Tamandua tetradactyla: one gene and its partners. The protein of the gene in region 1 interacts with the protein of each later gene in a pairwise test. Links are inferred from orthologs where the notes say so. Each region holds a gene or a part of one and is shown on either strand. Other genes may lie near its edges. The genes, in order: FXR2, C13H10orf62, PTS and BYSL.

Region 1 (7,235 bases):
CCTTGACCAAAAGGGGGAAGAGAAATGAAACAAAATAAAAGTTTCAGTAGCTGAGAGATTTCAAAGAGAGTTGAGAGATCATTTTGGAATTTATTCTTATGCAGTATATAGATATCTCTCATCAGTTTTTTGTGTGTGTATTGGAGTGGCTAAAAGGAAATACCTGAAACTACTGAACTGAACTCCAACAGCTTTGATTATTGAAGATAATTGTATAATATACAGCGTTTAAGGTCTGACCACATGCTTGTGAAAACCTAGTGACTGACATTCCCTTTATCCAATGTATGGACAGGTAAGAAAATTAAATAAATAAACAGACAAATCAAATAAAAATCAGCAATCACTTTCAGTTGCATTTTCTGTGTTGTGTGTTTCAAACTCAAAACAGCATGCAAATATTCCTACTTCTGGGCATTTCTGTTGTAAGCATTGGCTGTTGCCTTCTCACTGTTGAAGATAAGGAACCAGCCTCTTGCCAACTCCTCCATCATCCCAATCCACCTCCAGCGACATCCTTGGGATGAGGTTCTTTGCCATTGTCTTTAATCAAAAAACAACCAACCGCTTTACCAGGTGTTCCCTGTCTGTCAACTTTACAAAGGCAAACTTATCTGATCAGCTTCATCAGAGAGGACTCCTGCTTGGAGGCAAGCAATGGCTCCAAGTATTCTAGGATCTGGGGAGAAAGACGTCAGGGGGAAGAGGGGAGTAGCAACAATCAGTATGTAAACTTACATTTAATTCCCATTTTTATCCACCTTTCTATCTTCCTCCCACTATTTTTATTTATTTAGAAACCCCAAAGCAAGTGGGGCATCTGTTATACACACTTTGTACTCCAGCTAGTAATCTTACTGAAATACAAGTCTGCTGAAAATCCTGTAATGGCACCCACCGTTTTCAGTGGAAAGTCCAAACATCGAAATACGTTTCAAGTCCTCTAAGCTCTGCCTAAGCCAACCCTTCCAGCCATGTTTCCTCTCCAAGTCTGTTCCAGCCATGTTAGACTATTTTTAGCACCTCAAGTCTAGGCTTTCTATACATGCCGTTCCCCTGTCTGAAATGCTGTTCCCTTTTTTCCCACTCCCATCCTTTACGTGAATAAACAATGACCAGAGCAGATGAAGGAGAGGAAAAGTCAAACCTGAGAAGATTGTTGGTGCCTGTGGCTTGGAAGTTGGTGACAGTGCCTGTCTTGGTTTGCTGGATCTGCTGTAACAAAGCACCACAGACTAACTGGCTTAAACAACAGCCATTTATTTATCACAGTCCCTGAGGCTAGAAGTCTGAAATCAAGGTGTCAGCAAGGCCATGCTTCTTGGAGGTGAATCCATTCCATGCCTCTCTGTTGCCTTCTGGTGCCGGCAATCCATGGTGTTCCTTGGCTTGTGGAGACATTATTCAATCTCTGCCTCCTCCACATGGCCATTTCCCTGTCTATACATCTGTCTCTCTGCCTCCAAATTTCCTCTCCTTATAAGGAACCCAGGTCTCCAGTCATACTGACTTCAGTCTAACTAGTAACATCTTTAGACATCTTATTTACAAATAAGTTCAGAGTCACAGAACCAGAGGTTAGGACTTGAACATGTCGTTTTGGGAGACACAATTCAATTCCTAACAGTGCTATTTTGAAAAAAATTCAGTCCTTTCCTACGCTTAAGAGATCAAACCCATACTCTTCAGTCTAGCGTTCTTGGTAATCTGCCCTACTTAATTTCCTTAACTCTCTGCACTCATCAGAATCACTGCTGGTTGTCTTCTGACCATTTCTGTCATTCTAATTACTGCTGCTCCTTCTCAGTCACTCTTGGAGGCACCTTTTTTTTTTTTTTGACAGCTTTTTAAATACTGGTGTAGTTCAGAGTTCCATCAGGACCTTAGTTATTTCTAAACCTTTTATTTGGAGATTCAATTTACTCCTCGGACTTACTCCTCAGACTTAACTATGCTGATGATTTCCACAAGCACCTTTCTAACCCAGACTTCTCCCAGATCACTCACCTGTAAGACATTTGTTCCTTCACTCAGGAACTGTGAGCTGCTGGGTAGACAGTGATGGGGACAAACAGACATGGACCCTGGTCTCCAACATCACAGAGCTTATGGTGTGATAGTGGAAGAAAGACACTGAGTAAATTATTATTACATCCGTGATCAGGGCCACAAAGGAGTAAAAGATGCTTTGGCAGTGTAAGATGGGGGACTAATAAAATTAGCATACCAGAAGGGTAAGAAAATTATATTTAAACTGGGACCCAAAAGAGAAATTTGTTGAGACAAGGGAGTATCTCCACCTGAATGGCCCACAGGCCCTCATAAAGAAAGAATACAAAACCAAACTCACATCACCATTCACTCTGTAATCCAAGTTAGAAATCTAGGAATTGTCCTGTGTTCCTCCCACTACTTCATTGCCTCCTGACCTAACCCCACCCCACACTCTATTACCAATTCCTGTGATCCTACTTCAAATTAAATAGGCTCAAATTCAAGTTTTATCTATTTTGCCCATAACCGTAGTTCAGACAGGTCCTTAGCTTCTTTTTTCACAGGTCTCACTGTCTTCAGGACCACCCTTACTCTTCAATCTATCCTCTAAAATTGTAAGATGCAAATCTTATCACATCAAGGGGTAGCAACCACTTAAATTCTTTCACTGGCTCTCCATTATTGATAAAATAAAAGTTATTCTCCTTAACTTGTCTTACAAGTCCTTGACAGTCTAGCTTCCTGCAACTCCTTCCTTGGTGCTAAATGCTAGATGAAGTAGATATGGTTCCGCAAAGGACGTGTTCTTTCTGCTCTTTGCATCGGCTTTGCCTCTTTGTAGCACCTCTGTTTGTTCTTCCCTGGCCATTCTTAAGTCCTGCTAACCATTGTCACCTTGGGGTTCCCTCAATACCTAGTCCCTATCTCTATCACATCTTAATCGCACTCTGTGCATTTATTTATTTAAATAAACTCCTTGAGCTCAGGGACCACATCTTGTCTTTGGATCCCAAGCACTTAGCTCAGTGATTGGAACATAGTGGGGGGGAGGGGGCTAAATAAATGTTTGCTAAATAGTTACATGCGCACACATGATTCTAATTTCTGTACTGTTTTACTCGATTTCAACTACATTTCTTATCTGTCTTAGTTCAGGGATCCTAAGTTTCTCCCCTGCTACCCTCACTCGATGACAATTTCTCCTATTTTGAATTTCCTCAGCATTTAGATTTCTGAGTTTGTGCCAATCTAAATTGCATTTCGCCATCGCCTTGCAACTATTCTTTGACCTTTCATTACATACATGATCAGGATCATCTTGTAATATCCTCAAGGCAAGAACCGTAACTCAAATCTCCTAAACACAAAGTTAGAGGAGCTTGGAGAGACATTCAATACAAGTCTATGGGCGATAAATCTCGGCGCACGCGCGCGGGACACCTCTTTGCCTTTCGACACTACTTTTTTTTTTTTTTTTCCTTTGGAGCGTGCGCACCAAGAAAGACAAAGGTGGGGAAAGTGACCAAGCAGTCGTTCCGGCGCATGCCTATCCCTAACTTGTCCAAGCCTGGTATGGCTCCTAGTGGTGAAGTGGGTGTGGTATGACCAGGAGCCGCAGAAGTCCAATCCCACGGAGTGAGAGCGGTCCCTCCCTCCCTATGATTGGTCAGCGGTCAGTGTTGTGGGGCGGGGAAAGGAAGAGCTCGGCGGGGTGGAGTGATGGGGTGGCGAAGAAAGAGAGCTAATCTCGCTCTGCGCAAGCGCATGTAAACGACCAGGAGGGGGCGTGAGAGAGGGAAGGAGAGTGTGGAAGCCCCCATGCGCTGGCGAGCGCGAGCTGGGGCGCTAGCCTTGGCGCCTGCGCCGTGGCCCGCCGGGCTCTGCGCGCGGCGGGCGGGTGCCGGGTGCGCCTGCGCAGTAGACGGCGGCGGCAGGGGGAGGTGGAGGCCGTGGAGCGGCAGAGGCAGCAGCGGGTCCCGGGACCGAGGCAGCAGCGGGGGCGGCGGCGGGCGGAAGCTGAGGTGACGAAGGCAGCGGCGGCGGCGGCCGTTTCCCTCACGGTGGCGGAGACCAAGGCGGCGGCGGCGGACGGGGAGCGGCCCGGCCCCGGCCCCCTGCTCGTTGGCTGTGGCAGGGCCGCCGTGGGGCCGGCCCGGCTCCCGCCCCCCGCGGCTCCCCCTCCGGCTCCTCCTCCGGGGAGACGCCGGGGGCCCGGCCCGGCCCGGACTCAGACCGCTGCTGCAGCCGCCGCCGGGGGAGTCGGAGGCGGTGGCAGCGCCATGGGCGGCCTGGCTTCTGGGGGGGATGTGGAGTCGGGACTGCCAGTGGAGGTGCGCGGCTCCAACGGGGCCTTCTACAAGGTGAGGCGGCGCGCCGATCGGGTACACCGGCCCCTGGCCCTCTCCCAGAGCCGGAAAGAGTGGGGCGGGATGGAGCCTCTCCAGCGAAGTCCTGACCTCTAAGAGCATTAGACAAGCCTCACTCCCACCCTCAGCCTTCCTGGGGAGACCTCTGGGAGTTAACCCTCTTTCCTATTTTGGATCCCTCTGGTACACCTGCTTTTTGCTCGCGCCTCAGAGGAAATGAACGTCAGGGCATTATTGTGCCTAAATCTGTGCCCTCCGCCACCCCTTTCCCCTAGAAGAGACCCCCATTTAACCAGTTTCTTATTGACTTTTCCTGTTTCGTAGTGCAAAGATATACCTTAGACCTTAATCATATCATTCCCACAGTCCAAGCACATAGAGAATTCTCCCCCCCGTTAGCCGTCTTGTGGAAAGCCATTCGTTCATCTTCCTTAGAGAGACTTCTGCCCACTGACTCGGGGAAAATCATCCCACTTTCATCGTTCATTCCTGTTCGCAGTCCAAGGAGAAACGGTCAAAAGCCATTTAAACTATTTGGCGTCTTTGACCTTAGGAACTCTGGGTTATTTCAGGGTCAAGTTGCCTCCCAACCATAAAGTGGCATCTTTTTAGTAGTCTTTTGCCCCGCCTCTTTACCCCAAGGCCAGCTGGTCTACCATTCCACCTAGGGGATGGGCTTTTGTTGTCACTTTGACCTCGGATACATTTAGATCATTTATATGCTTTCTCCATTTTGAGGAATGTATAAGTTTCATATATCATAATATCTAAAAGGGGATCTCACGTGGACCTCTTCTGTTTATCTTCTTAAGGATTTTCACTTCTAGAAGACTTCTTGCCAACTCCCAATTTGGGAATCTGCTAGTAACCTTTTTTGGAAGGAGGAAGGGAGTATCTTTCAAAGACCCTTGCTTATTTCAGCCTTCTCCTCACCAAGGATTTGGTTCCTTAGAATTCCTTTTAGACCATCTATCCCTTATCTCCTCTGAATTCAATTTCTAGGACATCCCCCTCACCCCCCCCCCATTTAGATTAGGCCAGAGGAAGATCCTTCTTGCCTCCTAAGGATATTTCTTTGTCACTGTTGTTATTCTGAACCTCTTTGGGCCTTATTCCTGGAATTGTCACAGAGACTTTCCTGATTCCTGTCTCATTCTTCACTCTCATCCTGAGAAGCTGGGTAAAAGATTTTTTAACATCACTGGTGAGAAGAGCCTCATTTCCTTAACATCTCCTCAAGCCTTTTCTTCCACAGTAGACCCCTCCACCTTTATGCCCTTGGAAATAATTTCTTCCCTATGAAATCATAGCTTACTTTATCTGGAAAGGGTCATATATTTGCACTTGGAGTGGATGGTTTCTATCCCAAGTTCAGTTGATGAGTTCAGTGTATTCATTTTTTTTTTTACCCACTAACCATATCTACTTTAGTCTCCACACCAGATTTCTGTACCTGTCTCTGTCTGTTTGTCTTAACTTCCCTCTCAGTTCAAGCCTCTAACTTATTGTAATATTTTTATTCTATATACTTTTGTAATCATCAGGAACCATCTTATTGCATGTCTAGCTTGAAGGAAGTTCTTGATTGATCTCTTTTGTTATTTTTTCTACATACTTTTATAACTTGGAACTTCTTCTTGAAGTTTGCCCCCAGAACATTTATTTTCTCCGGGAAAAAAAGTCTTAATTCCTTTATAGTTCTGATAGAGTGTATTTGTTTCATATTCTTTCCCCTGAACTTACATTACCTTTACTGAAATACCCTTCTGCATAAGATGTTATCCCCATTTTCCAAGTATCTTGTCCTTCATCTGGGCCCCCCCTCAAATTCTGAGTTGCAAGAAGAGTGATTGTTAAATTGAGTCTGAGATCAAGATATGATGTTTACTTTTGTTCATGGAAGCATGGGAGCCAAGCACAGCTGGGAAAGATTGGTATCCTGTTCAAATTAACTGTATGAGATGGTTGGTAAGGGAGAGAGTTCTCTTTTCACATAGTAAGTGTCCAACACAGAGTCTTCCTATGAATCTTTCCCTTTTCTCCTGTGAGCTATGGCAATGACAGACCTTTGATTGAGGGACAGAATACTTTGGTTCAAAGAGTAGAGTTTGGAATTGAGTCGAAAGCCATGTAATGTGGATTTTGTGTTCTAGCCACTTTAACATTTTCTGTTCCATTACAGTTAAAAACAACAACAAATCCCTAAATTCAGGCTAATCTTTCCTCAGCTTTCATTGTCATATAGACACTTAGCCAGACTGACCTTGCTACTGATTTAATATTCATGACTCAGCAGACTTTGGTGTGGATCAGAGAGTATTTACACTGTTTTTAAAACTATAAATTTTGGAAGATCCCTTTCTCCTCTCTCAGAATGGGTCCTCTTCCAAGGTGGAAATGCAAATGTTAGATCTGAGATCTAAGTTTTCTTGTAGCTACCCCACCAACCCTTTCTTTTCTGTCAGAACTTAATGTATTTTATTCTTTAAGTTGTACTCTCCTAAATGAGAGAATGTACCCTTCTGGGCACATTCATTAAACTTTTCAGACCCTGCCTGGATATATATATTTATCATCCCATTCTTAGTATATAATCAGTAACTCACAATATTATCACATAGTTGTACATTCATCACCATGATCATTTCTTAGAACATCTGCATCAGTTCAGAAAAAGAAATAAAAAGAAAACAGAAAAAAACGTCATACATACCATACCCCTTACCCCTCCCTCTCATTGATTGCTAGTGTTTCCATCTACCCAATATATTTTAGCCTTTATTTCCCCTAATTTTTTTTAATTTTTAAAAAACATAACAACATACAAACATGAACATTCTTACCATGTAATCATTCCATTCTTGATATATAATC
Region 2 (5,943 bases), on another chromosome or scaffold:
CATGGCATCCACGAAAAATGTGAAATCAGGGTGCTGGAAACAGTGCTGTGATACTGGTAGCAGCAGCCACAGCCATGCCAATATTAGTATCAGAGAAAGGAGGAGAGAGATCACACTGACACAAAGCCGTGAGGGCAGGTGGTGGGGAGATACCAGCAGGGCTCCCAGTTGGCAGTGGGACCCCAGTGGGAAGAAGGTGGGGCAGAGAAGGAACTACAGTGTGGGATGTAATGTGACTTGAGAAGAAATAGGGTGAGGATAACGCCAAGAGCAGAGGGGCCCACCTTGCCAGCTCACTCCCTTCCAAAAGCCTGTTTCCACCCAGGAAACACCTGGCTGCTTTCCCCTTCCTTGGCAATGGCAGGTGGGTGGGTGCTGAATCCCCTGGAGATATCCTATTCCCAGAATCTATACCCAGCCCCCAGACCAAGGCCCCCACGTCAAGGACTGCTGGAGAAGGATCCTTCTTCCCCTGTTCCTGCCCAGACCTTGCGTTGGCCACAGAGCCCCCGACTCAGGGTGAGGGTACACAGGGCTTTTTATTGGCTCAGTTCCAGGCATTTGGCAAAAGTGTGGGGCTTTCACTGCTCCTGGGATCTGCCTTGTCTGTCTCCTCTCCATGGGTCTTCAGGAGCCTCAGAGTCTGTCTCAGCTGCTTCACTTCCTCCCAGCTCTCCCTCCACCGCCATCCTCTGTGGCAGAGCCCCCGCATGGAGTTGAAGGGGCCCGTGCTCCTGTGGGGACCGGAGGAAGAGAGGATCCCAGCAGCATCTCACCCTGGGCCACACAGGTTGCCCTATAAGGGAGAAAACAGGCCTGTGAGGGTGTGCCAGCCCTGCTGGGGGAAGGGGTTTCTCCATCCGTGGTTAGGTGGCTTCAAAGGAGTCACAGATCTGATGGCTGCCATTGGGCAGACTGTGGCTCTGGTGGCTCTGGTGGGTCAAGTGACCAGGATGACCTTGGTGGCCCTGGTGGCCTGGATTGCCCTGGCGGCTTGGATGGCCCTGGCGGCCTGGATGGCTTGGATGGCCCTGGAGGCCTGGTTGGCCTGGATGGCCCTGGTGTTTCTGATGACCGTGACCAGGGAAAGTGTGGGTGTTTTTGGAACCAGCTGTGGTGTTTTCCTGCCGGACAAGGAAACTCCCTTGCACTTTCATCTCCACCTCCTCAAGAGCCTTCAGCTCCTCCTGGTTGATGTCTTTGGTCTCCACGTGGCCCGTGTGCTGGTACGCCGTGGCACGCTGCAGCATGGAGTTAGCCAGCTGCCGCCCTTTGCTGTCGATCTCCTTGGTGCAGGCAGCCACTGCGGCCCAGGTGGCCTCATCTGTGGAGGAGGATTTCCCCGACTCCTTGTGGGTCTCTTTGATCAACGAGGACCCAGACGTCCTCTGCCTGCTGGTGAAGGACTCCCGGTGAAGAGCTGTGCCTCCTTCTCCGTGCCTTGTGGTGAAGGTCTCCACGTGAATTGTGGTGCTTGCTTCTCCATTCCCACAGTCAACCGGGGGACAGACAGCTGTGTTGTTGGCCTCCAGCTTTTCATCAGAAAGGCGGCTAAAGTGAGATTTGATCCAGTCCTCATTCTTTGGGTTGCAGGATTCTGTTGGGTAAAACCTGCCTACACACTCAGTAACTCTCTTCCTTCTCCTCCTCCGAACCCACAGCATGAGGCTTCCGCCTCCCAGCAAGAGGGCAGCCGCCAGCACCACCTTGCATGATGGCTGTTGGACGAGCTCCAGGAAAGTCTCCAGGACCCCACGCCAGGTAGGCTGAGTTAGGAGCACACTGGGAGTGGGGGAGCCAGGATGGTATGGTGCATGCTTGTAAGGGCAGGCTCCCCAAGGGTGTCTGGCAAGCAGACCCCCTGCTGCCCCCTCCCTAGAGGCCCCTCCCACCTCAGCAATGAACTCCATTGTGAGGAAGGCAGTGGGGGTGGGGAGAGGCCACAGCATCCCTCATGTCCAGCCTGGCAGTATTGCCTGAAGCCTGGGTCCCATCTCCCACCCTGACAGTTGTCCCCAAGGTCAGTGGAAGGGCACTGTGGTAGATTGGATTATGAACCCCATATTAGACAGATTAACCTTAATCTGCATTCCTGTGGATATGAGCCAATTATAAATGGGATCTCTTGAAGATGCTATTTTTTTTTTCAATTTTATATTTTAATAAAGCACATGGAACTCAATTGTTGACGTCTTCCATAATTATCACAGTTTAGTTATCAAAATCAGGAAATTGAAGATGTTATTTTTAATTGAGATGCGGTCCAACTGCATGAAGGTGAATATTATTAAGAGAACCTGGAAGTCACAAAAGCCAGAAAGGAGAGGGCATCACCATTTGATGGCAGGCAGCAATACAGCCAGCACCACAACAATGCAGTCTTCAAGAAGAAAGAAAGCCTTGCCAGTATCTCAATTTTGAATTTCTTCTACCTCAAAACTGTGAGTCAATAAATTCCTGTTGTTTAAGCTAACCCATTGTGTGGTATTTGTCATAGCAGCCTGGCAAACTGAGAGCCCCAAATCTGAGTCCCTTTTGCCTTCTGCTTGTGACCCATTCTGCGATTCTTCTTCTAGTCTTTGGTTTATCCCCCCAACCCCATACTGTGGCCCCCAGGGCGCTGAGACAGTTGGGTCAGGCTGGCCATGGCAGAAGACCCACCGTGGCTGGACTGGCATCTATTCCGGGCTGCCTGAGGACAGTGACGCTCTCCATCTGGGAACCAACTCTGCTGCTAGGACTCACCGCATTCCTTCCTCACTGATAGCACCCAACCGCTTTATAGGGCAGGGTCTAGAAGGAAAAGGGGCCCAGGACGGAGCTTATTCTGGAATAACACGAAGCCACAACTTTGGGGAGAAAAAGTGGTACTGAGAAGGCGGAGCAGATAAGACAGGAGATTTCACTAGGTCCCAGACCCCTGGGGGTCATTCCAGGATGGGGGCTGCCCCTTCCTGCCTTAGTGAGGCACCTGTAAACCCAGAATTTGCCTCCAGGTAAATGGCATTGTTCACGTTGTGGCCAGACTTTCTGTAGGTGCAGAAAAATGAAAGTTTGGCTCATGATTCAGAGTTATAGTCAGGGCTCCTTGGGGTAAAAACAGGCCTGGGCTACTTTTATTCCTACAGAGACATTTAGGGTGTTAAAAATGAAGAAATGCGAGAAACAGGATTGCAAAAAGTGTGATGTTGTAAACAAAATATTTTATTTAACAAAGTAATAATCTTAGTTTATACAAAGATAACTATGTAAACAAAATGCCAGAGTGTAGTCTACATGCTGAGATAACATGTCCCATGCTTAAAGTTTAGGGAGGACCTCACCTCACTCATCCCGCTGGAGTAGCTCTACACTCGTCCACTCACCTCACTATAAGCGATTCAAAGTCCACCTTTGAGGTTGTTAGGGCATGAGTTCAGGGCTACATGGCCCTGCTGCAACAACTCGTACCTTTTATTCGGAAAGAATATTCTTCATTCAAATAATCTACAAATTAACAATGCTGAAAAAAAAAAGAGCTACACAGTTTCAGGCAATGTCCTCCAGAGGAGTCCTTTACCTGTTCACTAATCCATCAAGGGCAGCTTTAAGGCTCCTGTTTTGAGGACCTTTAGCTCGTTGCTGGAGGGCCCTACCATGTGGTTTGTGGCGGTTCTCTCCTCTGACCCTAAGTGTTGGACTGCAAACCCTACCCCGGGGCCAGGATCCAGACAAGAGAAACACATATTTCAGAGCTAAAGTTGTTCGGTGTCCCTTCCTGGACATCCTGCTGTGCTCTGGGAGCAGTGACAGGGCCCTACGGCTTTATGTTCTCTGTGCCGTGACCCAGGTTTGAGCTCCTTGGACCGAGTATGTTGAACCCTGTGGCCAGGAGCCTGAAGGCTCAGTGCCCATTTCAAAATGAGGAAACTGGGTTAAAGAAATCAAGCGATTTTCCCAAGGTCCCCGTAACTGGCAGAAACAATTTATTTTTTATAATTTAAATTTTTTTTTTAAAACATAACCTACAAACACAAACGTTCTTATCATATGGTCATTCCATTCTTGGTATATAATCAATAACTTACAATATCATCACATAACTATATATTCATTATCATGATCATTTCTTAGAACATTTGCATCAATTCAGAAAAAGAAATAAAAAGAAAAAAGAAAAAAATGCACACATACCATACCCCTTACCCCTCCCTTTCATTGATCACTAGCATTTCAATCTACTAAATTTAACATTTGTTCCCCCTATTATTTATTTAGTTTTAATCCATATGAGAAACAGAATTCTTACCCAGGTCTTCTAACTCCAGATGTTGGGCTCTTTCTACTACAGTCCACTGCCTTCCTGGTATGTGGCTGAGAGTGAGCAAGTGGGAGCCAGCATGGGTTGCAAGGGAGAAAGCCAAGTGAGTATGTGTGCCTAGCGGCCTGCCAGAAATCTGCTGTAGCCAGTGCTCCTGGAGCACTCCCAGCAGTGAATGGGTGGGAGGGAAGAAGGGTTCAGAGGAGAGCCTGAGGATCTCCGGATTCTCTGGGTGGAAGGCATATACCAAATGCAAAGTCCACTCATCAATTCCTTGTCCTAGGGTGTCCTTGAATCTGAAGCAGAGTCTTCTCTCTGAAGCTCAAAGCAGCTTCTCATTTTGCTTCAAGACAACCAGTTCTCAGCTCTAACTTTCAGGCCCCCATGAGCTGAGTTCCAGCAGCAATTTGTTTAGAGAGTGTGACCTTGCTCAGTGTGGGTATCCACAGGAACTTCACTGTCCCTTAGGGAAGGCCACATCACCTCACCATGAGATGTGAAAGCAGCTTTGCCCACAGTGCACACACTGTCACTTTAGTAATTATTGTCATTGGAGTTAATACCATTGAATGTGTATCACTCTTTGCAATTCACTGCTGCCTGCCACTTGCATTCTCACATTTTTTTTCTCCCAACCATCTTATGATATGGGCATTATTCACTCTATTTGTCAGATGGGGAAAGCCCAGGTTTTGAGAGATTATCCCATAGCTAAGTCAGCGGCAGAGTTGTGTTTTGAATCTAGAGTACACATTCCTAACTGCTATACTGTTACTGCTTTGGTCTGAGCCACTCCATTCCCAAAGCTGGTGCTGACCAGACTCTGCTTGTTAACAGGGCTCTCTCCATAATCTGGTCTAGCAATCCAGCAGGGTATAAGGAGAGTCAGTACAGTGGAGTCAAACAAAGCATGGGTCATGCAGATGCCAGCTGAGTTCAAATCCCAGCTCAGCCATGTATTAGTTGAGTGATCTTAGGCAAGTGACTGTCATTATGAGCCTCAGATTCCCATTTGTAAAGCAGGGCTATCCAGAGTACTACCTCAGAGGGTCGTCAGCTGACCGACGTGGGGGTGCAAGCCAAACTCACCAATTCTTCTACCTTCATCTATTGTGCCTGTGCTGTGTTGGGTGGGGAGGGTCACAAATGTGATCTGGAGAGGAAGGGCCAAGGGAAGCTTCGCCTAGAGAGCAGGTGTGAAAAGGGCTTTAAGGGAAGTGAGGGTCTGCAGGAGGACGTGGTTGACAGGACTTTCACACCTCAGTAATGCTGAGAGCCAAGCAATCACTTTAGTAGTTTACAGTTGGGAAAAATGAGGCAGGTGAGGTTCAGTGCAAGGTTGCACACCAGCAGGCAGCTTTCCACCCAGCTCCTGCCCCCCCAGACCAGTGTCCCCTGTCCCTCTCCTATAGTAAATTAACCCGGGCACCTGAAAAGCCCTGAGCTACTTGACAGAGCCTGTGCCCCCTCCCCATGGTCTCTGGTGAGGAGAACGGGGTGGTTAACCTCGCCCCCAGTTCCCACAGCGGAGAGGCCCAGCTTACCTCGGAAGGGGCAGGTGCCCAGTTTGTGCAGGTTCTCCTCCAGTTTCCCATAGTCCACCTCATTGGTGGCAGTGAAGGGGGTGGTCACAGGGGGGTAGA
Region 3 (7,766 bases), on another chromosome or scaffold:
AAATAAGCATGTTACATTTATTACCATCACTAATACCACTCTGACTAATTTCCTTTCAGTCAACCAAACAACTTTCGAAGGCCTCTATATAACTACTCCTCGACTCCCACACCCAATTCCACTCACAAGATCATGGCTTCCGAAGGTACTCGGTTGGGGAGGTGAAAATGGGGGTATCTGATATCTGTATCTGACTTAGGAGACCTCACATAATAAGCACCAAGCATGTCATTACCTCCATATATTCTTTGAGGTCAGTCAAGTTCATAACCATCCCTGTAACAGGATCAATCTAAAGAATAAACAAAGGTGAATATTACTACAATAGTTCTCCAGATTTAAGCCTCTGGCAAACTATTAAAAGCTGTACAATGTACAGAGATTGGGCCCACATTTGCCTTCATGCCAGAGACAATCATCAATCTCAGCATGGAAACACCGTATGTTTGAGGCATCTGTTTCATTGTACTGCTCTTCTACCTGTCCATATATAGCATACTAAAGACAACACTTTGGGAGAGGAGTGACCTGGAATGGCAGCAGTTCATCACACAAAGGCTGACAGCGAAGCAATATGGATTGGAACAGAAGTTTTCAATATAAGCCGCCACGTTGGCTGAGAAAGGGCCCAGCAATCTGCACAAACCACACAAATATTTTCAGCACGTACCTCTCCATGTACTGTCACCACAACTATGGGAAAGAAAACAAAATACCAAAAACCAGCATGACTTACGACAGAGTAAGATCCAAGCACAAGTAAGCTTAAATTAACTATTAGAGATTCCCCACCCAAAGCTATATGTATAACAAAAGTTACTTTTTTTAGTTAAAATATTTTATCAACCAAAGCAACACTCAACCAAGAGAGACGAGCTTATTAGCAAAGGCCAAGGCCCAAACTGTAAATTCAGCCTATGATGTTAATTCCCTAGGTGATAAGTCACTGCTGCTGGATTTCTGCCTGTAAAAGTAGAAAATGTATAGGCAGGTGTCCAACTATGTACTGACCTGGCCCAATTCTGGATGATACTTTTCTGATCAGGCAAACCACTACTGTTATTCTTTTACTCACACAAATATACCCAGTTTACATTAATGCTTTGAGAATTAACAAGTGCTTGTATAAAAGCATCTGAAAAATCCTGACAACCAGAGTTTTACAAATCAATAACTTTTATATATTTACATATTTTTTCAGCTCCACACAAACACCATAGGTATTATATGATTAAGTGAGTAAACTGATACTGAGATATCATAGATAAAATAAGAGGCAGCACCTAAGCTAGAAACCCTGACTAGAAACTCACCTGCTCTTTTATTCCACCACACTATATTATATTACACCCTATGGCTTATGTAGCAGTGTTTTCAGTCATTGGCTGTATCTTAAAGAATCAGATCACTTACCCTTGCACAAATTAATTACTTTCTTAGAACACTGCTGGCAAAGTTTTAGATCCAACCTATTTTTCTGCCAGTCGGCACATTCTTAGGCAAAATTCCCCCTTTTTGGTCATTATTTATTTGCTCAAAAAATTCAATCTAATTTTAACATTTTGCCTCTGCCATACCTAATTAGAAGGAAACACACTGCCAAAAAAATCGTATTAAGCACCTAACGCCAAGGAAAAAGTTTATTTAAGCCACTTATTGTTCCGGACTGTCCTCAATAGAACAGATGATTGAGAGGCTGAACTTAAGGTTCACACAACCAAGACAATAGATCTTTTCACTTTGAATTTCATTTAATTTCATTCAAGACTCAAAGCATTCATGTACTGTCCACACATCTCATTCATTAAGCTTGTATTTGTTGAACACTGTTATCCTTACTAAAAGGGCTAAAATTTCATCAGTTTTTCTCTCACCTTTGTAATTATGCCCATGGCCATTTGGACTGTTGCATTTCCCAAACAGTTTCAAGTTTTCTTCGTTACTCAAAGATTTGCTAACCAAAAAAGGAAAAAAAAAATTCAGTAGGACACAGTATTACATTCACACCCCCTGTTCCCTGCATTTATAATTTGTTTTAGCCTTTGAAAAGCTTCACAATTTGTTTTGCCCTTGGCTTACCAAATGGAAACGCATAAATCTATTTGATTTCATTACACACACTGAAACCAGTGTGTGTACTCTAATTAGACTACTGTACCACACAAAGGGGGAAACCGGAGGCTCACAGTGAGCCTCATCAGCAAGTGGTAAAGCTCGCTGCAGTCTCTCTTTAGCGCAATCAATTTGAGAGCCCAGATTTCAAATGCCAACCGTGTTGCATGCTTTTAGAATTGACTCAGGAAACTGAATTTGGGTTCTTTTTTAATCTAAGCAAAATGGGGATAAAACTCACTTTTTAAATTGTATTAGATTCAGTAGCTAATGCTCCTGGGATACGTTAGCTATCATTTACTGAGTGTTTACGATGTGCCAGATACTGTGCAATGTGGGAAAGTTTAACTCCTTTAAACTATACAGCAACCTTTTGAACTAAACTAAGGAAATCTGGGAAGAACGTTGTTTCAGGTCACGGACCTAGTGGTGCCTCTTGATTCTCACTCTGCAATCTGCTCAGTTAATCACCACTCTTTATTGCCTCCTCAAAAGCCCGGTCGACTCTAGTTGCCAACGTTATTTTTGTTGTGGTCAACAATAAAGCTCGGCCGCCAAGCGTCAACCCTCCATCTTCTAGTTCCGCACCCAAAGAGCGCAAAAGCAAGCGCGTAAGCACGTCCCTTGCCCCGCCTCCCAGAGACGTTTTCCAGCAGGGCAAAGGCCCCGCCTCCCACTGTTGACATTATGGTCACACCCTACCTGTGGAGCCGATGGCTCGCGCTGAAGGAGACGAGACGGGACACCTGTGCACGGTGCCCACCGCCCGAGCTCGCCGTGCTCATGGTCTCCCAAGCCCGGGCGCCTCAGCACGCCCTCTTCCCCAGGGCCCGCGGATAGCTGGAAGAAAGCACCGCCGTCCGAGATTGCGCAGTGCGGGCTCGCGCGCCCCCGGAAGCACTCACCGGCTTTTTTCCCAGGACTGGGCTCTGGCCAATCCCGAGATCGAGAGCGCCGCCCTGTCGACTTGGAGGCCTTGACAAAGGACCATCACTCCCGGGATCTTTTCAGAGAGCTAGAGTTGGGATAGTTAGGCATACCTTCGAGCTTTCAAGTGTCTGATTTTTCTGTCTGTCCAACTTGGGTAAATGTCTTCCGGTTAGGGTTAATCTGAGTACATTTTGGATGCTGGCGTGATCTCTTTGAGCCTCCCTTCCTTCCCACTCACTCTCTTCTACAAAGCCCTGGGTTTGTTACACTGGAAACCTCCTGCCTCGGGGTAGTTATCTGGGATAAGACCAGAGCCACCGTTCACCTGTAATATAAAGGGAGCAGGAATTTAAGAGCCTTTGCAGGACCACGGGATTTCATAGATGATGCTAGCTTGAACTGTCTGTAATGATTCTTACCAAGGAAAATTCTCAAGCCGTCTTTACCATCCAAAAGCATGCAGGATCAATTAGTACTCTGGGTTGGCATAGTTTGAACACATGAACACATGCACTAGCAATTCTCTGGCCAATGTAGATAGCTCTAGTGTGAAAAGATCTTATATACTTAATCTGCTCCTAACAGTTTCCAAACTCTTCACATTCCCCAGGACCATGTCGCCTCCTGCCTCCATTGATTCTTTCATTAAATATTTATTTATTGAACATCCATTATGTGGCTGGTACTATTCTAGGCACTAGGGAGAATAGTGGACATTCTATATGAGAAACTATCAAATGATGAAAAGCGGAACAAGTCAATAACAAAGTAGGAGAAGTTTTTCATAAATTTAGAAAAGAAAGATAATTTAAAATCATGGATGTATCAGAAATATAAAGCACAATGACTTCTCAAGTGTCTCCTGTCTCCAGGTATATATTATATATTGTTTGTTCTGCATTAAATTATTAGCATGTTATGTAACAAACACTCATACATTTTCAAATGTTTGTCCCATGTCCCCCATTGGGCTGTAAAGAAAAGACTTCAAAGAATAAACTTTCAGAGATTTTTGAGATAGAGATTATCTTGTTTAATACTCTCACTTTACAGATGAAAAAACGCAAGCAAAGATAAATTAATGACTTCTCAAGATCACTCAACATGTAAACAGTATTTCCCAGGTATTAACTGCATCAGAGGTAAATACACTAACAGTCAATGGTTACACAAACACTTTACTCATGCTGGAAGCAGTTTAAAGCATCAAAGTACAACAAAAGGTAAAAGGGGTTTCTGAGATATTACATTTGTTACTTGATTAGGCCATTAAAATATTTCATTGCATTTGCTCTAAAATATTTCATTAAAACTAGTGCTAGGGCAGGCCACGGTGGCTCAGCAGGCAAGAAGGCTTGCCTGCCATGCCAGAGGACCCGGGTTCGTTTTCCGGTGCCTGCCCATGTAAAAATTTTAAAAAATTTTAAAAATTTAAAAATAAAAAAATAGTGCTATATAAGGCTACTCACCAAATTCACCCTCAGTGATCCTATTTAACCAATAAGCAAACAACATTTCCTTAACTTTCTTTACCAAAACCTACTAAGTCAAGGCTTTGTGCTTGGCTCCTTTGTGCTGGATACCAGAGAGTATACCAATGAACAAAAATAGGGAAGGTAGCCCCCATAAGGATCACCTTCCAGACACTCATTAAGACAACACGTTTACTTCACACCTACTAAATGCCAGGTATTTTGTCAAATGCCAGAAACACACAGATGAGTGTAACAAACACATGATCCCGATCCTCACACAGTTCCCTTTAATGGGGAGCCAGATACAAAAATATTATCAGGATAAACTAGAAAAGGCTAATTCTGCTTCAGAAAGTAAAAGAAGACTTCTATTTCAGTTTCCTGCTCCAAAAAAATCCCAAATGAGGTTGGCTTAAACGATGAGAATTTAAGAGTTTCGAAGCCATGAAAATGTCCAAATCAAGGTGATGCTTTCTTCCCAAAGGTCAGCTGCCAGTAATCTTGGCTCTTACACCATATGGCAAGGCACATGGCAGCATCTCCTGGTCTCTTCCTTCTGTTCTATTTCATCTTCTTGCTTCCTGAGTTTTTCTCTCTTTGTCTGAATTTCATTCTCTTATAAAAGATTCCAGTAAGAGGATTAAGACCAATCCTGATTGAGGTGGGTCACGCCTTAACTGACATAGCCTCATCAAAATGTCCTACCTACAATATGTCCATAGCCATAGGAATGGATTAGATTTAAAAACAGTTTTTTCTGGAGTACATACAGCTTCAAGCCACTACAATTTCAAAGTGGAGATGACTTTTGAGCAAGATTTTGAAGGAGTTCACCAGACGGGTAAGAAAGGATGAGAATTCCAGAAAGAGAAAATAGGGTGACAAAGAAAACTCGGAAAAGTGCAGCTTGTTTAATGCATAGTGAGAAGTTCTTGACCGCACTGGGGAGATAGGTGAGAGATCAGACTGAAAATACCCACTGGGGATCAAATTATTGAAAGACCTTGAATGTCACTTTAAGTATAAAAGAGAAGAGCTTCGTCCCCTTCTCAAGGCTTCTCCTTCTTACCGGTCTCCTATTTCTTCCCCAAGAAAAAAGAATTCGCATCTGATTGAATCATATTTCCAACCATCGACTGGCCTCATTTACTCACAAGCAAGATCACAATGTGTTATAAGTCTCACATGTGGTTGTAGCTTACTCTCTGGTGCTAAGTTCAAAGGAATAAATTGAGTTAAAATTTCTCCATTCCCACCCCTACCCTCAAGAAGGCCTGCACATTTTATTCACTGTTCTATTCTGTCTCTTGCCCGTTTGACCAGGGCCTGGTACCTTCAGACAGGTTAGCTATCTCTCTCTCTCTCTTTTCTTCTCATTTGTGTACTACAAACTCCCTTTCCTTAAGTCTTGGGCTTAGGGAGGGGAAGAGCCTCTGTCTAGGCTTTAAGCTTTAGTTATATATTCACTCATATTTTACCAGAAAGTTCTGTACTGAATTACCATAAATACACACCTGGATTATAAAATATCATTAATCCTTTTTTGTTTTCTCCTTCAGGAGTCTTATAGATAGGAGAACTGAAGCAGAATTCAGGCATCCCTAGGTCAAAATTTTATATGTAACTAACCATTTTTATGTATGAACTTCACTTCCTATATATTAGGATGGAGGAAAGGCATGATGAGATCTGTACTTTCCAGATGTCAGCCAGAGTTTCCTTCACCCTTAAGATCTAGAGAAGATAGATCAAAAGTCCACATCATGTTGGGGGAAGTACAATGCTTTTTCAGGGTCTTCCATGAAATATCAGGGGACTTCATGTTCTTATGATTATCTCAGGTGCTAAATTCCTATATCTGCTGAATTCATACAATTTAGGCATTTTTTTTTTTTTGCCATTCCATACCTATTGTTGCTCTCACCAACCCGGACATGGGCATTTCCACTTATAGCCACAATCAAATTCCCACAGATGCCATTTACATAGAGCACTCCTCCAAAAATGATCGAGTTTGTGAAGTTTGAAGTAACTCTTAAGGAAAATTAGAGAGGAAATTGACTATTTTGAGCCATGAATGTGTAGTAAACCTAACTTTGGCTAGTGACCATGAGTTCACAGTTGCTTCAAAACAACATGTTTTGGGGGGTTTCTCCAGCAACATTCATCATGCAGAGGGAAAATGGACAGTATAATAACCTAGGGCTGGAGCTAAGGGGTCATGAGGGCTGGAATTAAAGAAAAAGGGAGCAAGGGATTTTGAGGGTGTTGACAAAAAAATGCAGATCTGGGCTGATTAGGGCTGTTGATAAAAATTGATGGTTATCAGAAATGTGGAGAATATATGGTCTCTAGTGCCACCTGTTGCCCAAATTAATAAAGGACTACAAACTTTCAACCCGAAGATTAGAAGAAATACCCAATTATAGAGCTGTCCCTCAAAACAAGCACCTCCCAAGCTGAGCTGGGGAGAGGGAAGGGGGAGGTAATGAGAGGTCCTTAGAAGAGTTATACAATTGCAGTGGTTTCTGTTGTTGACAGCAGAGAAATAACCAGTTTAGAAAAAGCCTCCAAACATGATATAACTGAGCTCCTGTCCTCTCTAAGTACCTCAGGAACAAAGGTATCAGGCAGATGTGGTGGGAAGAACAAGGTGCTTTTCAGGTCTATATTCAAAATGTACCATCAATGACCATTTGTATTTTTTCTCCCAACTTTGAGCATCTGTGTTACCCACCTAATCTGGTGGTGTTAATGATCTCACTTTAGTTCTTTCATGTATTACTTAGAGGAAATTCTAGACAATATATGTATATTTAAAACCCTCTTCAAAAGGTTGTATCAACATTTGCTTAATGTTTTCAAGGAGAACAGTAAGAAAATGTAAAACCATAATTATCTCATGAATCCCATTTTTAATAGAAATTTAATATGCACTCAAATGTCTATGGTTTGGAAAACAGGGTGCCATTTTTTCCTTCTCTTTTTTGAAGAGAACATTACTTTTACATCTAGATCCCAGATCATATGGCTGTCCCATCAGATGGGTACGAATGTGCCATGGAATCCATAAGGCATTTGCACAGGCACTTCAGCTCGGCCCAGTTCTTCAAAGTTCTTAGCATCCAAGACTAAGAGAAAATTGCTTTCATTCTAGAAAAAGAAAGACAACACTGAAAATTCCCTCTGTTTTCATTTAAAATCTGTCTATCTTTTCCACTAGGCTGCAAAATTCCTAAGGGCAGAGAC
Region 4 (7,715 bases), on another chromosome or scaffold:
ATGAAGCTGCATGTGGAAATGATAGAGGGAGGAGGGCTGGGGACATAAATGAAATCAGAAAGAAAGATAGATGTTAAAGATTGAGATAGTATAATCTAGGAATGCCTAGAGTGTATAACAATAGTGAAATGTACAATGTACAAATTTTAAAAATGTTTTTGCATGAGGAAGAATAAAGGAATGTCATTATTGCAGGGTGCTGAAAATAGATGGTAATTAATATTTTAAAATGTCACTTTACGTGTGAGACTAAAGCAAAAAATGTTTATTTGTTACAAAATTTATATCTTGACTAGAGCATTTCCTAATATAACTTATGTAGATAGTTTGATTGAACGTCATAAGTACTTGGAATCTCAGGTAGGATGTGAGATTTTGTTGGTTTGTCCAGAGTGATGCCCCGATGAATCCCAGAGTGATTTGATCAGTGAGTGGAAAAGTATTTTCAAGCCCCCTTCGGGGAATGGTGAGAGCAGGGAGAAATTCAACCTCCCCAAGTCGAATTTTTGATCTTCTCACAAGCAGTGTGGACAACCAAAGCTGTAGCCTGAGCCCCCAGTCTTGGGGTTTGTTCATATGAAACTTAACCCCACACAAAGGATAGGTCAAGTCTACTTAAAATTTAGGCCTAAGAGTCACCCCCAAGAGAGCCTCTTTTGTTGCTCAGATGTGGCCTCTCCCTCCAGCCAACATGACGAGCAGTCTCACCACCCTCCCCCTCTCTGCGTGGGACATGAATCCCAGGGGTGTGGACCTTCCTGGCAACGTGGGACTGATTCGATTGTGTTAGGTAGTGGCAAGAAATAGGGCTACAATGGTAAATTGAAGCCAGACTGTGGAGAGTCTTAAGAGGTGAGGCAGTGGAGTTATTTCAATCCAACAACCAATTTGAGTAACTGATTTTTTGAAGACTAGAGGTTGGTGGGCATCTGGGAGGAGGGGTACTAATCCAATCGAGGAGAGAAAATACTACATAGGAACAGATCATTAAGAACAGAGCATTGTGTGATGAAAGAACTAAAATTAGGGTGGGGGGAGGGGGAATACACAAATATTTTGTTCTCACATGTCAACAACTTCCAAATCCATACTTTCTTCTTAGATCCAGATGCTAACTCCAGGCTTCTCCTGTACCCTCCTTAGATGACCCAGGCACTTCATCTGTCACCAAGTGAACTCATTCTTTTCCCCAAGACTGCACCACTTACTGTGGTGACTACCTCCCAGCCCTGCCTTGTCCATATTCTCAGCCTGCAAACCCAATCAATTACGAAGTCCTATTCGATTCTACCTCATGGAGTATCTCTCAAATCCTTCACAGCCCTTTCTAAACCTAGACCAGCATCATTTCTTGCTAGATTCATTCACCAATCCCTTAACTAGTCTCCATGCTACTGACCTTGCTTTCTTTCAACAAATTCTCTACTCTACAGCCAATCTAAACTTCTGGAACCACACATTTGGTCTGATCAATGTTAGATAGCTTTAAATCTTGGTATGGCCTCCAGGTCTACAAAAGCTCCTATGTACCTCACCATCCTTCTTTAATCAATTCATTCAGCAAACATTGATGCCTCCTATATGTAGGGCACTGTTCAGGATACTGGGAATACATCAGTGAACAAGAGAAACAAATTTCTGTCCTCGTAGAATCTCTGGTACATTTTAACTGGGGGACACAGATCATAAATAAACATAACAAATCAATACACTGGGTCAAAAGAAGACAACTGGAATGGAAAAAAAAAATGAGACAAAGGAGCGCTGCTAGGACTGTTGAAACTGGAATGTGGGTACTGGAATTTTAAATAGAGTGGTCAGAAAAGTCCTCTTTGAAAAGGTGAAGAATTAAGCAAGTAAGCCTGCAGGTGTATAGGAACTGAACATGCTAGGCAGAGAGAACAACCAGGGAAAAGGCCCTAATCTGCCAACTTCAAGGAACAATGAAGCTATATGGCTGGGTGGGGTGGAGTGGAGAGAGCAAGCGCAGAAAGTAGTAGAGAGGTCAGATTGGCTTTAGGGGAAAGGACAGTGTCAAACTTGTTCGTTTCTGTACCCAAATTATCCAAACTTCCTTATAAACACTTATGGAGCAAGTGGATAAATACCAGGACAATTTAATGGATAATGAGCGATCACATCCCGCTGGCCTAATTTTAGGGGCGCCTAGGACCCCTAGAATCTTACTGCCTAAAACTAGGAGTGGGCAGGGGTGGGTTGAGGTGGGGTTGGACCACCTTAAATCCGCTTCAGGGCTCGGTCTCCCATCCCATTACTTTCTAAAGAGCGTAATATGGGCACTTTTTTCAAAACTCCAAGCTTCTCCCCTGACGGACACCTTTCAGCCATTCATCCAAGTATCCACTCTCTCCCTCGCACCCCATTCCCGGCCGCTCACCCAGCCGCGCGGTGCGCTCCCTCGGCCCCATGGGCCTTTCCCCAGCGCCATGCTCGGCCTCCAGCTCCTCCTGCTGCTGCCTCGCTTGCTGCAAAATTCGTCGGGTCAGTCGGGGCCCCACATACTCTTCCTCTTCTCCGGTGCCGCGGCTCCGCCGCTTTTCCCGGGTCCCGGCCCGCACTGCGTCCCCAGCTAGGATCTGCTCGGCCAGGGGCGCAAGTTTTCCTTGACCCCCGGCTCCCCGGGCCGCCTTGAATTTGGGCATTTTTCTCGAAAAAGTGGCCGCGAACCTTCACACGTGGGGACAGAGGCGAGCAGCCGAGAGTGCGCTTGTGCAGTGAACTTCCAAAGCCTACCAGGCCGCGCGGAGAGCACAGCGCCCCCGAGTGATTGGAGGACAGAAATGCCGTCAGCGACACCCAACTCCACTCCCTAAAAGTTCGCACGGGCCCTGAATAAATTCAAATCCTGAATAAATTCTTTGCATTTAACGATGACTGCTGTAAGTGGTGGCAGTTCGAACCATGCTTTCCAAGCATCGCAGATCCAAGTCTGGGTATCCAGCCAAATAGGACGTCCATACTTCCAAGCCTGAAGCTGTCACTGGGCTGCGTGACGTCTCTGCATACGTCACGGTGAGAGCGCCCAAGCACGTCTCTGTACCCTCCTGGCGCATCCATGGGACGCTTTGTTTTTATATAACTTCCGGTGCCTTCTCCCTCGACCGAAGCTTACTTTTGGGGGCTTCATTTAATGTGGGCGGTCGGAGAGCACCGCGTTTCAGCTGTTTGAATCTGCCACCCTCTCATCCGACACCATGGGAGTGACTTGGTAAGACTGCACAGACCACTTGGGATTTTGTGAGACGGGTTTTGGGATCATGAAGTTGCCCTTGGAGCCTGACTGGACCGAGAGGTGTAGCGGGACCGGGGTTCTCCGACACCCTGAGGGAACTGAACAAAATGCCCCTGGGTTATATGGGTGAGGGGATCCCGCGAAGGTTGCAGGTTCTCGGGGTCTGTTTCTTCGGAGATAAGCTCCTTTCTCCTGGAAGGCAGCAGGTAAGATTTTTTTTGGGGGGGGGGGGGGCAGGTAGGAGTTTTTAATCCTAGGAGCCTATCAGTGGTTGTGTACCTCCTTTCCTTTTTTCTTCGTACATTTTCCTGCACCTTATGTTATGGTACTGCTAGGAGTACTTCAGCTTTGGGGATAGGATATCCGCACCAGGACCCGTCCGCAAGCAGGGCTGAAGAAAGTGGTGGTCAGGCAACGAGTAGAATGCCTTTTTTTTTTTTTTTTTAGGTCTCTCTTGCCCCTCCCTACAGCCACAAAAAGTGTTTGGTTCTACATTGGCCATTATATAAAATAAACTATTAGAAATTAGGAGATGGAGTTGCAGTTGCTTCACCTCTTCACAGGACCTGTTTCCTGCTATGTTAAATTACAAGGTTCTACTTTCTATGGGCTTTCTCTCTCTAACATGTTATAAGCCACAGTTGGAAGAAGGCAAGGTGATAGGGAAAGGCGTGGGTCTAATATTTTGGAGGTGTTAGTTACAAAATGTTAGGTTTCAGGACATTAAAAAAAAATGTCTTCAGGTGTGCACATCTTTCCTGTCAGAGAGAACTGGGGACTGGGATATCCGAAGTTAGTGGCTCTTGACTTCTCATATAACAACCTGTGGGAAATGCTTTTTCTTGTAACTCAGGCTCTTACAGGATTGTCTGATTGTGCCCTAGCTTCTCACGGTAGACCTTCGAGAGGATCTTCGAGTCCTCTGGTGTTAGGGAGATATGTGAGTGATGGGAATAAAAAGTTCACAGCACAGAGGCTTGAAATCCTGGAAACCCCTGGTCTTTCAAAAGAGAAAGCATCCAGAGAGAAAGGCCTTTCTATCTGTTGTGCTTTCTATCTTTTTCCAACTTTTTCAGAATCTTAGAACTTATCCTTGTAGCATTAGTTTTTAGGATCCTCTTCTGTGTAAAATTAAGTCACATCACTATTATATAACCGTGCTTTTTCTGAGAGATAGTAGTGACAATTTTTAGCGGCAGTAGGACTCTAACTTATTAGCTTCGTTTAATCGATTGATCATAAAGTAATGCATTGTCTACCAAAGTACAGGCATATGATTGTCTTCATGATTTTTGCCATAGCTAGTTACCAGCTATACTATTAGGTACTAATGTTTTCTTTTAAGTTTATTCCTTTAAATGTTATTTAACAGGCAACTACATCCTTAGAGAGAATGTCTGACCTTGGGCTCATTAGTTAACCTCTCTGTACCTCAGTTTACTCATTTGCAGCAAGGAGATAAATAATAACACCTCTTATAGGGTTGTTGTGAGGACTGGAAGAGTTAATTCATCTGAAGTCCCCATTTTAGAGTTAATTCACCTGAAGTACACTGTCTGGCACATGGTAGGTACTTGTTATCTATTACTCTAAAGGGGAAGCCAGTTTCACTCACCCTCAAGTAGAAGGAAATCTTGGAAATAACATGTTTCGTTTTCCTGCATTATTAAATTCTTGTAGATGCCACTGCCTCCCACTCCCAAAGATTATAAATTTGAACTCTGCTTTCTGTTTGTTCAAGGCTGTCAAATAGAACTTTCTGAGATGATAGAAATTTTCCATATCAACATTTTCCACTATGCACTTGTGGCTATTGATCCCCTGAAATCTGGGCAGTGCTACTGAGGAGCTGAATATTTCATTTAATTTGTTTTATTAATTTAAATAGCCAGATGTGGCTAATTGTTACTCTACTGAAGAACATAAGTTGAAAGTGTTAGAGTTAGTAAAAATGTACTAAATCGGGCTGGCCACGGTGGCTCAGCAGGCAAGGATGCTTGCCTGCCATGCCAGAGGACCCGGGTTCGATTCCTGGTGCCTGCCCATGTAAAAAAAAAAAAAAAGAAAAAAGTACTAAATCAAATTGAGACTTTCTCCTTGATATATTTAGAACTGAAAAAAATTACTAAGGGAATCTCTTGTTTTATGTGATTCAGTGTTATTGAATACTCAGCCTAACATCTCTTGCATGATGGCACAGTTAACATCAGTAGATGTTGGTGTGATGGGAAGTTCACTGTACTGGTACATGAGTCCTGAAACCTGTGCTGTAGTTCCTAGAGGAACTCTCAGAGACTGTGGGCCTCTGTTTCTTCATCTTTAAAATTAAGAGTCACGTGAGTGGAGTGGTCTCTAAAGTAACTCCTGATGACTTGTGATGCTGTGAGTGAGCAGTTGGCTTGTTGAATGGCTATACTAGTGCATGTGTGTTTCTGGATGCTAATGATTTGGTCCTTTTCCTTCCAGTGTGTCCCAGATGCCTGTGGCTGAGGGCAAGAGTGTCCAGCAGACTGTGGAGCTCCTCACCCGGAAATTGGAGATGCTTGGAGCAGAGAAACAAGGAACATTTTGTGTGGACTGTGAGACCTACCATACGGCGGCTTCCACCCTTGGCAGCCAAGGTCAGTGGGATTGCACTGTAGGATGGCTGCAACCTGGCTTGGCGTTGATGGACATTCATGTTCACTAAAGTCTTTCTGATCTAGTTGTGTTTCTGAATTCTTTAAGTTGTTGTTTCTTCATCTGTTAGACTGGAGCTATTTTGTTTTCTTTTTGGGAACTTTTAAAACATTGTTTCTTTTAAAGAATTGATCATTGACCAATTGCATCAGCATCACCTGGGTTACTTGTTCCCCAAATGAACCTTATCCACTTAAAAATTTGAAAAAGATCCCTTTTTTTAGGCTCAGAAGTCTTTATAATTTTTTCTTTTTGTACTTTCTGCCTAAAGGCTTTCTGTTTCCCTCACCTAGCCAGTGGCTTTGGCCATATTAGTGTAACATTGACATTGACCAATGAATCAGCTTTTGTCTTAAATGTATCACATTGACTGGAGTGTGGATGGTAATTGTGCTGGCAGGGAGGGAAAGAGGATCTTTGAATATGAGTTAGGGAACCTGAGTTTTCTTAGTTTTGGCCCTAGCGGTAACTTGCTAAATATATACATTCTTAGATGATTTCACAACCCGGCTACTAAAAGTAGGGTTGTGGAACCAGGCCCCTAAGTCCCAACTCTGCCACTTAATAAATGTACAACTTTAAATAAGTCCCATAACCCATCTGTGGCTGTTCCTATTCCAGTGATTTGCCTATTTCCTTGTAGATTCATTCCCTGACATCTCCTGCAGTCTAAGGCACAGGAAGAAGATTGCAGAAAGGGAGACCACAAGTATTTGCCTTCCTTTCCTTATGCTTTGGACGGTGTCCCTGGCCCTAACCATGTCTCCTTGGCTCTAGCTTCTGCTAGGTAACCCCACTTCCTGGCTAGTAACAGCACATCTTCTCATTTTCCCTGCAGCCCATAGATGGTTGTGGCTTCCTGTATTGCTGTTCTCTGGGTTGCCATACCATACTTTTTACTTTTTCGGTCCTTCCAATCCCTGTATTTTGTTCCCTATGATAAATTCCCTCTGTTGAAACTACCTATTGTGGTCTTTGTTTTTGGATCTTCCCAATATGTCTTGGATTCTTCTAATGTATAAAATGAAGACAGTTAAAGTACTTATCTCCTAGTATTATTGTAGCAATTAAATAAGTTAATATATGCAAAACACTTTCAACTGAGGTTGTCATTTAATAAATTGGAGCTGATAGCTGTACAGGCTTTCATCAGTGGTGGAATTGCAATGTTTGTTTTGCCTTCAACTGGAAATATATAAGAATCAAAAGCGATAATAGTTATGAAAGCATTTGGAAAATAAGACATTTGCTTATAGATATAAGGTGGCATACTACTTCTAGTTAATCTACCTGGTATGGCCCCTGTTTTGCTGATTGGACCCTTATTTTTAAGGAAATTACAGTCTATTTGGGGAGATAGAGGACATTTGTGGCAGGTTGTGAGATAGAATGGAAAGAGCAGTAAACATTGAGTCACAAAGTTAGAGCTCTGAAGCTTTGAAAGTCAGTAGTACCCCACGTGGGAACTGTTTGAAAAGCTGAAAAATTGATCATACTTTGAGTAGAGATATGAGTGAAGCTGATCTGGGTAGGACTAAGGTATATCAGAATACAGGGTAAAGGATGATATCATCCATATTTTAAAACTTCAACATCTGTGTGAAACTAGAGGGTGAGATGCTTAGTTGGCACAAAATTTATATTTTGGGTAGGTCATTTCCTAATTTAACTCGTATAGTCAGTTTAGTTGAACAAAAATAAGTACATGGAATCTTGAATAGGGTGTGATATTTTATTGGTTTGTTCAGGTTAGAGTGATACCCCAGTATATCCCAGAGTAATT

Evidence for each region.
Region 2: the proteins of FXR2 (region 1) and C13H10orf62 interact in binary tests that used the Homo sapiens proteins (3 or more experiments, as listed by UniProt). The two-hybrid records come from large-scale screens. The link is inferred for Tamandua tetradactyla from reciprocal best matches to the Homo sapiens genes FXR2 and C10orf62.
Region 3: the proteins of FXR2 (region 1) and PTS interact in binary tests that used the Homo sapiens proteins (3 or more experiments, as listed by UniProt). The two-hybrid records come from large-scale screens. The link is inferred for Tamandua tetradactyla from reciprocal best matches to the Homo sapiens genes FXR2 and PTS.
Region 4: the proteins of FXR2 (region 1) and BYSL interact in binary tests that used the Homo sapiens proteins (3 or more experiments, as listed by UniProt). The two-hybrid records come from large-scale screens. The link is inferred for Tamandua tetradactyla from reciprocal best matches to the Homo sapiens genes FXR2 and BYSL.

The regions. Positions count from the first base shown.
Region 1 is NC_135332.1:61,463,633-61,470,867, reverse strand, and holds the start of FXR2 (RNA-binding protein FXR2), read left to right. Parts: upstream 1-4,221; 5' UTR 4,222-4,274; coding exon 4,275-4,355; intron 4,356-7,235. UniProt on the Homo sapiens protein: mRNA-binding protein that acts as a regulator of mRNAs translation and/or stability, and which is required for adult hippocampal neurogenesis. Specifically binds to AU-rich elements (AREs) in the 3'-UTR of target mRNAs.
Region 2 is NC_135339.1:58,872,597-58,878,539, reverse strand, and holds C13H10orf62 (uncharacterized protein C10orf62 homolog), read right to left. Parts: upstream 1,955-5,943; 5' UTR 1,950-1,954; coding exon 867-1,949; 3' UTR 521-866; downstream 1-520. Other genes in the region: HOGA1 (4-hydroxy-2-oxoglutarate aldolase, mitochondrial), read right to left, coding at 5,845-5,943.
Region 3 is NC_135334.1:28,962,416-28,970,181, forward strand, and holds the start of PTS (6-pyruvoyl tetrahydrobiopterin synthase), read right to left. Parts: upstream 3,013-7,766; 5' UTR 2,898-3,012; coding exon 2,815-2,897; intron 1,955-2,814; coding exon 1,875-1,954; intron 694-1,874; coding exon 671-693; intron 293-670; coding exon 236-292; intron 1-235. Other genes in the region: BCO2 (carotenoid-cleaving dioxygenase, mitochondrial), read right to left, coding at 7,557-7,670. UniProt on the Homo sapiens protein: Involved in the biosynthesis of tetrahydrobiopterin, an essential cofactor of aromatic amino acid hydroxylases. Catalyzes the transformation of 7,8-dihydroneopterin triphosphate into 6-pyruvoyl tetrahydropterin.
Region 4 is NC_135331.1:99,516,621-99,524,335, reverse strand, and holds the start of BYSL (bystin), read right to left. Parts: upstream 3,013-7,715; 5' UTR 2,664-3,012; coding exon 2,399-2,663; intron 1-2,398. Other genes in the region: MED20 (mediator of RNA polymerase II transcription subunit 20), read left to right, coding at 3,216-3,229, 5,720-5,874. UniProt on the Homo sapiens protein: Required for processing of 20S pre-rRNA precursor and biogenesis of 40S ribosomal subunits. May be required for trophinin-dependent regulation of cell adhesion during implantation of human embryos.